Canis lupus familiaris: one gene and its partner. The protein of the gene in region 2 interacts with the protein of the main gene of each other region in a biochemical or structural test. Links are inferred from orthologs where the notes say so. Each region holds a gene or a part of one and is shown on either strand. Other genes may lie near its edges.

Region 1 (3,801 bases), on a different chromosome or scaffold from region 2:
GCCAATGTAACTTTAACTGGTAGTTCTTCGATTTTGTTTTTTTATTCGTTCCTGTGGCTGTGTGGAGGGGATTAAGGTAAGAGGCTGGGACCTGACTTCTTCAGCCCTCCTCGCAGGGGGGCTGTCCTGGTTTGCCAGTTTTTACTGCAACGAAAGGCAGTGCGTTGAAGGCGGGTTGTAATTCTTGCCTCCCATTAAGTGTGTGGTCTCTTGAATTTTATAGGTAGCCCCTGAAGAAGATGAAAGGAAAAAGAGGCGGCGGGAAAGAAATAAGATTGCAGCTGCCAAGTGCCGCAACAAGAAAAAGGAGAAGACAGAGTGCCTGCAGAAAGTGAGTCTGCCCGGGGCACCTGGGTGCTGCAGTCGGTGAAGCGGCTGACTGGGTTTCAGCTCAGATCATGAGCTCCTGGGTCGTGAGATCGAGCCCTGCAGTGGGGTCTACGCTGAATGGGGAGTCTGGTTGTGGATTCTCTCCCTCTGCCCCTGCCCCCACTCACTCTCTCTGGCTCTCTAAAATAAATAAGTACATCTTTTAAAGAAAGAAAAGGAAGGAAGAAAGAAAAAGAAAAGGAAAGAAGAAAGGAAGGAAGGAAGGAAGGAAGGAAGGAAGGAAGGAAGGAAGGAAGGAAGGAAAGAGAGAGAGTCTTCCCCTTCTGGCCCCCTCCTCTTGCTCATGCCTGCCCCTGCCAACCTCATGTTCCCATCACAAGGAGAGTCCAAAAGCGCCCTGCCTAGAAGTCTCCCAAGAAGGATGTGTAGCTGGTAACAGAAAGGCCAGTTGCTGAATGAGGAGGTAACAAAGCTGTTAGCACCATCGAAGGGAACTCTGGTTGTAGAAGCAGCAGGTGTGTGAATTAAAAACCACAGATTGTCTGCTGCCCAGATTCCCAGCAGTCTTGGCTCGTCCATACACGTCCAGCAGCTTCCAGGCTGCAGGATATGTCAGCCCAGTTAAAGAAGCTTCACTCACCCGTTTTTACCGAGAAAAGGAAGCAGCCAGTTCTCACTTGGCTCAGTATGAAAAGCCTTTAATTAATCTCTTCAAACAAGTTATTTCCTTAAACTGCAAGCAGTGGTTATACTCTTTTTCTTGGCCCTCTTGTGTGTTGGTAACTCTGCCTCCCTTGTCCTGGGCTCTTCCCATAGTCTGAGCTCGTGGCTGTGTTCAGCTAATTCCCCTTCTGAGGGGAGAGGTACAGATGGGCACAGCATCTCTGGGCAGGTGGGGCGGGCCGTAGCACAGTCCTATGGCTGTGTCCCCTTCCCCCAGGTGTGGACAAGCCAGCGCTGAGTCTCTGCCCAGGTCCTCCAGGTCCCCAAGGATTCTGTTGATTGCTTCAAGAGAGGTGGTGAAAATTGAGACCTTTTGTGTGTGTTGCCATGTACATTTTTTCTGGGGAGGTGAACCTCTCACTGAAGTTGGTGACTCACAAGAGCCTGAATACCATGAGTCTGCATTTCTCCCCAGCCCTCAAGGCTCTCGGGGGCTCGGGAGAGCTGCACGGGGGCTGTTGGACTCACACAAAGGAGATCGGTGAGCTGTCGGTTCTGCAGCAGCCTCCTTACCATGAGAGTCACAACCCACCCTCAACCTTCAGTGGAAACTCAAGGGCATCTCTAGAAGCCTCCAAGTTCAAAAGCTTCTCTCCAGGGTCTGGGTTCTCCCAGACCTCATGCTGTTGTCCCAGCTTTGCGGGGTTGCTGGACCAGCGAGCCCACGGCACTCCCCTCCGCAGGCCATCCCCAGCTTGATGAACTCCCGAAGATGTGTGGCCACCGCCGCCCCAAGGCCAGCCCCTCTTCACTGGAACCATGGCTTCTTGGCTAATAATTCTGTTGCTTGTCCCCCAGGAGTCGGAGAAGCTGGAGAGTGTGAACGCCGAACTGAAGGCCCAAATCGAGGAGCTCAAGAACGAGAAGCAGCATTTGATATACATGCTCAACCTTCATCGGCCCACGTGTATTGTCCGGGCTCAGAATGGGCGGACTCCAGAAGATGAGAGAAACCTTTTTATCCAACAGATAAAAGAAGGAACATTGCAAAGCTAAGCAGTTGTGGTATGGGGGCAACTGGGGAGTCCTCATCGAAACCTACTACATCCCAAACCCTGAAGCCATTGGAGATCTGACTTCCTGTGCACCTCTCGCATCCTGGCAGTGAAGGACCATCGAGGCGGGAGAGCCCTTGATGACTCAGCTGGGCCTTTCCTCTCTGCACCAGAGTGGACTTTGGACCAGGGCAAGGGCATCTTTTGTCTCAATGCCAAGATTTAGGCCTTAACTTACTGGCTATTCTTGGATGCTGTAGGTGGCCCCTGGTTAGGGTCTTGCCCATCTTTTGCCTGGATTCTACAGAAACCAGGACTCTCACCATTAGGACTCATGCTCAAGAAGTGTCTGTACCTTGGGTGGGTGGTGTGGGGCCACGTCCTGCGCCGCCACTACCACTGTCACTCCTCGGGGACACAGAGTGAGAATGGCATTTAGTGAAGTTGTACAATGGCCAGGGTTGTGCTTTCTAGCAAACATGCTGTTATGTACAGGAATTACTGTGTGCAAGGCATTTGTGTCAAAGCTAGGCATTGTGCTCTTCTGATGTTTGTTTTGCACAACACCGGTGTGATTTTCCTCAGATCTGGCTGCTGAGAGTTTGAGGGGGCTATCACCATATGCAGTGTCTTACAAAACGTTGAGGTGGCCAGAAGAGCTCATCAGCTCCGGGAGAACAGAATTCTGCTGGCGAGCAGTGCGGTTTTTGTGTCAACAGAGAAAGCTGCCTTTCCCGTGGCACCCAGGCATTAACGCAGAGTTCATGGGCATGACTGCAGGTCCTCTGTCACAAACTCAGTTATAATGTCACAGGAAGAAAGCAGAAAGTCCAACTTCCAAAGGTCTAGGACTCTCCACTCAGTGACTTAGGTCAGGAGTTATTTCTAGGCCAGCAGAGCCAAAGAATATTCCATTTTCCTTTTCTTGCAGTTGCAAACCACATTCAGTGGAGACAAGTTTGAAGCCAGGTGATGCCTAGGCTTTAGCATTATTGGATGTTAATGGCATTGTTTGTCAGGCGGATGTTTGTAGAAATCTGGCCCAGAGCATTTATTGCTGTGAGAGGTCATTCACACTGGCCATAGGACTCTGGCTACTGTCTGTTTAAATTCTGATGTTTCTGTGAAATCCTCAGAGTGTTTAATCCTACTTAATAGTGTCATTACAATTTTCTGTAAGAGAATATATTACTTATTTATCCTAGTATTCCTAACCTGTCAGTACAATAAATATTGGAACCAAGACATGGTAAACTTAAGTGTTGTACTGGTTTCTGTTCTTTTTAAATCAGTTGCTCGTTGAAATCTAGTCATTCTCCATCCCCTCCCTCTCCATTGATGGGGAGGGGCGTTTAGCTTAAAAATTCTCCCAAGTGTCATCCCTTTGCTCTTTGGGGGGCCACCAGGTGAGATCGTTGACTTTCAACCCTGTTCTCAGTCTGTGGCATTGGATGATGCTGTTTCTCATTGACAAACCCTGGAACACGGCGCCAACCAAGTATAACCTTTAGGCCGTTTGGTGTCAAGATAGAGGTTTGATATAAAATCCCAATTGCAGGGCAGCCCGGTGGCTCAGTGGTTTGGTGCCGCCTTTAGCCCAGGGCGTAATCCTGGAGTCCTGGGATCGAGTCCCACATGGGGCTCCCTGCATGGAGCCTGCTTCTCCTTCTGCCTGTGTCTCTACCTCTCTCTCTCCGTGTCTCTCATGAATAAATAAAATCTTTAAAAAAAATTAAAATAAAATAAAATCCCA
Region 2 (4,568 bases):
ATTATTATTTTTTTTTATGATAGTCACAGAGAGAGAGAGAGAGAGGCAGAGACACAGGCAGAGGGAGAAGCAGGCTCCATGAACCGGGAGCCCTATGTGGGATTCGATCCCAGGTCTCCAGGATCGCGCCCTGGGCCAAAGGCAGGCGCCAAACCACTGCGCCACCCAGGGATCCCTGGAGTGAGCCTTTTAAAACTCTAGTCAGGTCCTGTCAGTCTGTTCAAAACTCTTCAAGGACTAAAGTTCATGAATATTAAAGGCTAAAGGTCCTTAATATGGCTTAGAAGGCCCCACACAATCTCCTTCCCTGCCCTGGATTTCTCATTGACCACTCTCCCTCTAGTCCGTCCAGCTGGCCTGCTCCCTAAACTCTGCACACTCCCACCTTAGGACCTCTGTTCTCACTGTTCTTTCTCCTGGAAAGCTCTTCCTTTCACAAATCTGCACAGCTTACTACTTTGCCTCTTTTCAGAAGTTTCATTTAAATGTCACCTCTGTGAGAGAATCTCTAATGACTCAAGGTAAACATCCTGGGCATTCACTACCCTTCCATGCTTTGGTTTTCTCCTTGGCACTTCTATATTTGTTCGCTGTGCACCTTTTCCCACGAAATGTAAGCTCTGTGAGAACAGGTCTTTTCCTTGTTCGTAGATGCATCCTGGGCCTAAAATGTGTGGCACATAGCAGGTGTGTAATAAGTAATTTGTGAAGAATGAAAGAATTCTCCCCAGTGTCTCATAGGGAAGGGAGGAGGAAGCCCAGAGGCAGAGCAGCAGCTGCCCAGCCCTGGGGACTGGAGATGCAATATCTCCCAGAGTGTTTCTCTTCAGGGCTGTCCTCCCTGGGGGACCCTCCTTGCCTTCCAGCGTGTGGGATGCCGCTTTCATCAGCAGTGGGGCCCCAGGCCAGAGGGCTGCAGAGCCAAACAGGGGGCTGGCCTGATGCAACGGTTACACAGAAATTAGCTGGGAGGCAGGACGCGGGGAAAGCAGCAGGGACAAATCCCTGCGGAAGGACCCTACACTGGGGAGACCCCAAATGGCTTCCCACACTTAAGGGATCCAGAATGCTCTCTTGTGCAGGAGGCCCCCGGGACCTCTGGGGGAATGGGAAAACCCATCTCTGCTCCCTAGCCATTGGCATCCCTCCTCCTCCCAAAGTCTGGAGTCTGTCTCCTTAAGGTTCTCTTCTCCGTTAGGGTGTGGAATGGCTGTCCTGTGCAGGACCCAGGAGCTCCATCCACCGACGTGGCCACTCTGGCCCTGAGACGCTGGGCTGAGACAGGATTGGGGGTGGGGTAGGGGCAGGGCCGCTGGTGGGAAAGTGGCGGCAAGGGCGTGAGCCAGAGCCATCCAGGCGTCTCGGCGTGGGGGAGTGTCCTGCCGCCCCGCCTCCCACCGGACAGGACCAAGGAGGCGGCCTAGGGCAGCAGCGGAAGACAGGGAGTCTCCCGAGGGCATCCGGACCCCTTAGCCCGACGGCCCAGAGCCGGGCCCGCGCTCCGGGCAGGGTGGGGCGCCGCTCCCGTCCGAGGGAAGAGAGGTCTGTAAGCACCACTCCCGGATAAAGGATGCTCCCCGTCCCTCCCTCGAACTGTCACTAACTTCGTCGGGGAACGGGTGGGGCCGCATCCTGAGCAGCTGATGCCCCAACTTCGAAGGGACAACCAGCATCCCCGAGGACTAGAGGGTAAAGAGCAGGTGGGATCGGTACTCGCCTCTCTCCTCAGGTTCCGGCTCTGACTGTGGCTCTGTGGCTGCCACCCGCTCATCTTCAACATGATCCGCTCTGTGCCTTACACTCAAGCCTCTGACCTCGGAGGCCCGAGCGCGGATGTTTTAAGGAGGCCCTGCCCTCCCCTCGGGGGCGGGCCCGCAAGCCTGCCAATCAGGGCGCGGCACGCCGGCGCTGGCCCCGCCCCGCCCCCCGCGCCCGCCACTCAGCAGCCCCCGCGGCGCCGCCCCCTTCGCTCCCGCCGGCCCGGGGGTAGAGGTGGTGTCGGACCCGGAAGTGGCTTTGGGTCACGAGGCTCCGCGGAGGAGGCGAGTGAGTCATGCGCGCGCGCGGAGGGGAGAGCTGGGGGGGAGGGGAGGAGGGGAGGAGAGGGGGGCGGGGATGATGCAATGTTTGGCAACCGGTGTCTCGGCGCGCACGCGCAGGGGCCGACGAGGGTGGTGGGCGGTGCGGGGGGGTGGGGGAGAGGAGAGGGCGGGGCGCCAGCGCCGGGCTCCCAACGGCCCCAACGGCTCCCAACCGTGGCCGCCCTCAGGCTGCCTGCGAAGCCGCGCTGCGGCTCGTCCTCCTCGGCGCCCTTATTCCGCCCACCTGGCGTTAGCCCCCGCCTCGCCGTCTGCATGGGGGGCTCCCATTTTGCTCGGTCCCCTCCTAGTTAGTGGGCGCGAGGTCTTCTAAGCCAATCTCTTTTGAAAGTTTGCATGCAGCCACAGGACCGCCTAACGTCTCCTCGAGTAGGCGCATAGAAAGATCCCGTTTAGCTCCCTAATTCCCCCAGAAGGGGCCGAGGAACTTGAGTACTTTTGATGGTCATTTTCAGCTCCTCGCCGAAAAGCACCCCTAACTTTTATCTTTGTGAAGTTTCTGATGAGCGCTCAGCATGCCAGGATTCAGGACTTGGCCCGGTGGACGCGATTCTCAGCCTCCCCCCCCCCCCCCCCCGTACTCTGGTGCCTCCACCAAGGATCAAGACCCGCCCTTTTCGCTGTACCAGCCGCGCAGGTCCTGTGACTCCTGCGTGAGGAGCCGTGCACCCGCCGCCTGCCGCCTCGGTGCTCGGGCGACCTTAGAGCCTCGTTGCCTGGGACGTTGGGTGCACTTGAGCGCGCAGCCGCCTTGCACCGGGTTGTCAGGAGCCCAGAGTCTGGCCTCACCTGCCCCTTTACTTGCCCCCTAATATCTGTGCCACAACCGTTCTTGTTTGTAAATAAAGGATGACGAGTTGTGAAGGTAAAACGAGAGCACTATGAACTTGGAGGCAGCTTAAACAAAAGTGAAAAGCATCGCTTAAAATGCAAACGTTTTTCTTGTGCCATTAGAGAGAAAAAAGATGCCATGTGGCGGCCGGTTGTATTCACTGTCATACCCTCACGGGGGCAGCCAGAGTTAAGTAGAATCTGTCACAAGGCCGGTTGTGGCTGCAAGGAGGTTTAGGTGGTGGTGTGACGGTGACAGGTCCTCGGCCGGGCCTGCTCCGTTGCTCCAGACCTCCATTTCCCCTTCAGTAGATGGGGGTGGGGGTGGGTTGGACCAGATGGTCTCTCCTGGCCCAAAGACATGACCAGGTTGTCAGTGACAGGCAGAGGTCATGTGACTTGACAGGCGGAGGTCCTGTTGTGACATGTTGACCTGGGGAGGCGGGTCAAGTCCCAGCACACTACCCGGGAAGCCTTTGGGGCGGGGCAGGGCAAGTCGCGACTTTCATCTTTTGGGGCCGGCCCCTCCCGGACCCGGCATTCCTGGCTCCCCCGACAGACTGTGGCTTTGGAAGGGGCCCCTCCCCGGGGAGGGCTGGGATTGGCCGCCGGTGGCCTGGGAAGAGGCTCAGATCCTTCCGCGGAGGGCGGGGGGGCCGCGTGGGGTGTTTGTTCTCTTGGGGATTAATGGGGGGTTGTGGGGGAGGGGTAGGCGCGCTCCCGCATGCGCACTGCGGCCCCTCCTGTTGGCTCGTCGTTGTCCGCTGGGCGGGGGCCCGGCCCCGCCCCTCTCCCGTCCGGGCAGCGGCGGCGGCGGCGGCGGCGGCGGCTGCGGCGGCGGCGGCGGCAGCGACGGCGGCGGCGGCGGCGGCAGCCTGCGCGGTGCCTTCTGGGAACGGAATCCCCAGGGCTGCCCCTGGCCCCCATGGCGCATGCGCGGGAGGCCGCTCGGTGATCCGCGGCGGCGGCGGCGGCGCTTCCTGCTAGGACCGGCCGGGGCCGTACCGGAGGCTCGGGCTCCGCCGACCCTCCTCCCACTCCCTCCCACTCACCCTCTGGGCCGCGACTGCGCAGGGCGGGGCCGGCCGAGCCATGGGCCGCGGTGAGTGCAGGGCCCGGCCCCCCCGCCCCTCCCCCTCCCCTCCCCTGCTGTCCCTACCCTCTGCCCCCCGCGTCCTCGGCCCCTTTCCCGGCCCCATCCCCGCCCCCCCGCCCTCACCTGCCCCCGCCGTCTCTCCCTCGCACTGCTTGACTTTTGCCTTCTTCACCTCCCTCCCTCAGTGCTTCGCCCACCCTCCGCCCGCCCTCTCCCCAAGTTCCTTCCTACTTCGTGCGCCTTCCCCTCCTCCCCAGGCAGAGGGAAGCAGGCTGGGTGACAGGGCGCCTTGTTACGAGAGGGAAAGTTTAGGAGCCGCCGGTGTGGGGTGGGAGCGATGGTGAGGCTGGGGGGCTGCTTGCAGGCGGGGGGGGGGGCTGCGTCCCCACTTGGAGCCAATTTGAAGCCGGTGGGGTAGGAGGTGCTGAAGCCCCTTGCCTCGGGCTTGGGGGGAAATCAGGAGCTTCTCGGGATTCTGGGAGAAGACAGAGCTAGGTTGCAACCCTTCCTAGGAAGATCAAGTGAAGCAGATCAGTGATCGT

The links.
Region 1: the proteins of DDIT3 (region 2) and ATF3 form a complex in vitro, tested with the Homo sapiens proteins (2 studies listed by BioGRID and IntAct, with this or other methods). The link is inferred for Canis lupus familiaris from reciprocal best matches to the Homo sapiens genes DDIT3 and ATF3.

Annotation. Positions count from the first base shown.
Region 1 is NC_049228.1:10,645,414-10,649,214, forward strand, and holds the end of ATF3 (cyclic AMP-dependent transcription factor ATF-3), read left to right. Parts: intron 1-223; coding exon 224-331; intron 332-1,851; coding exon 1,852-2,049; 3' UTR 2,050-3,307; downstream 3,308-3,801.
Region 2 is NC_049231.1:1,963,466-1,968,033, forward strand, and holds the start of DDIT3 (DNA damage-inducible transcript 3 protein), read right to left. Parts: upstream 2,828-4,568; 5' UTR 2,726-2,827; intron 2,047-2,725; exon of another isoform or gene 1,964-2,046; intron 1,868-1,963; exon of another isoform or gene 1,718-1,867; intron 1-1,717. UniProt on the Homo sapiens protein: Multifunctional transcription factor in endoplasmic reticulum (ER) stress response. Plays an essential role in the response to a wide variety of cell stresses and induces cell cycle arrest and apoptosis in response to ER stress.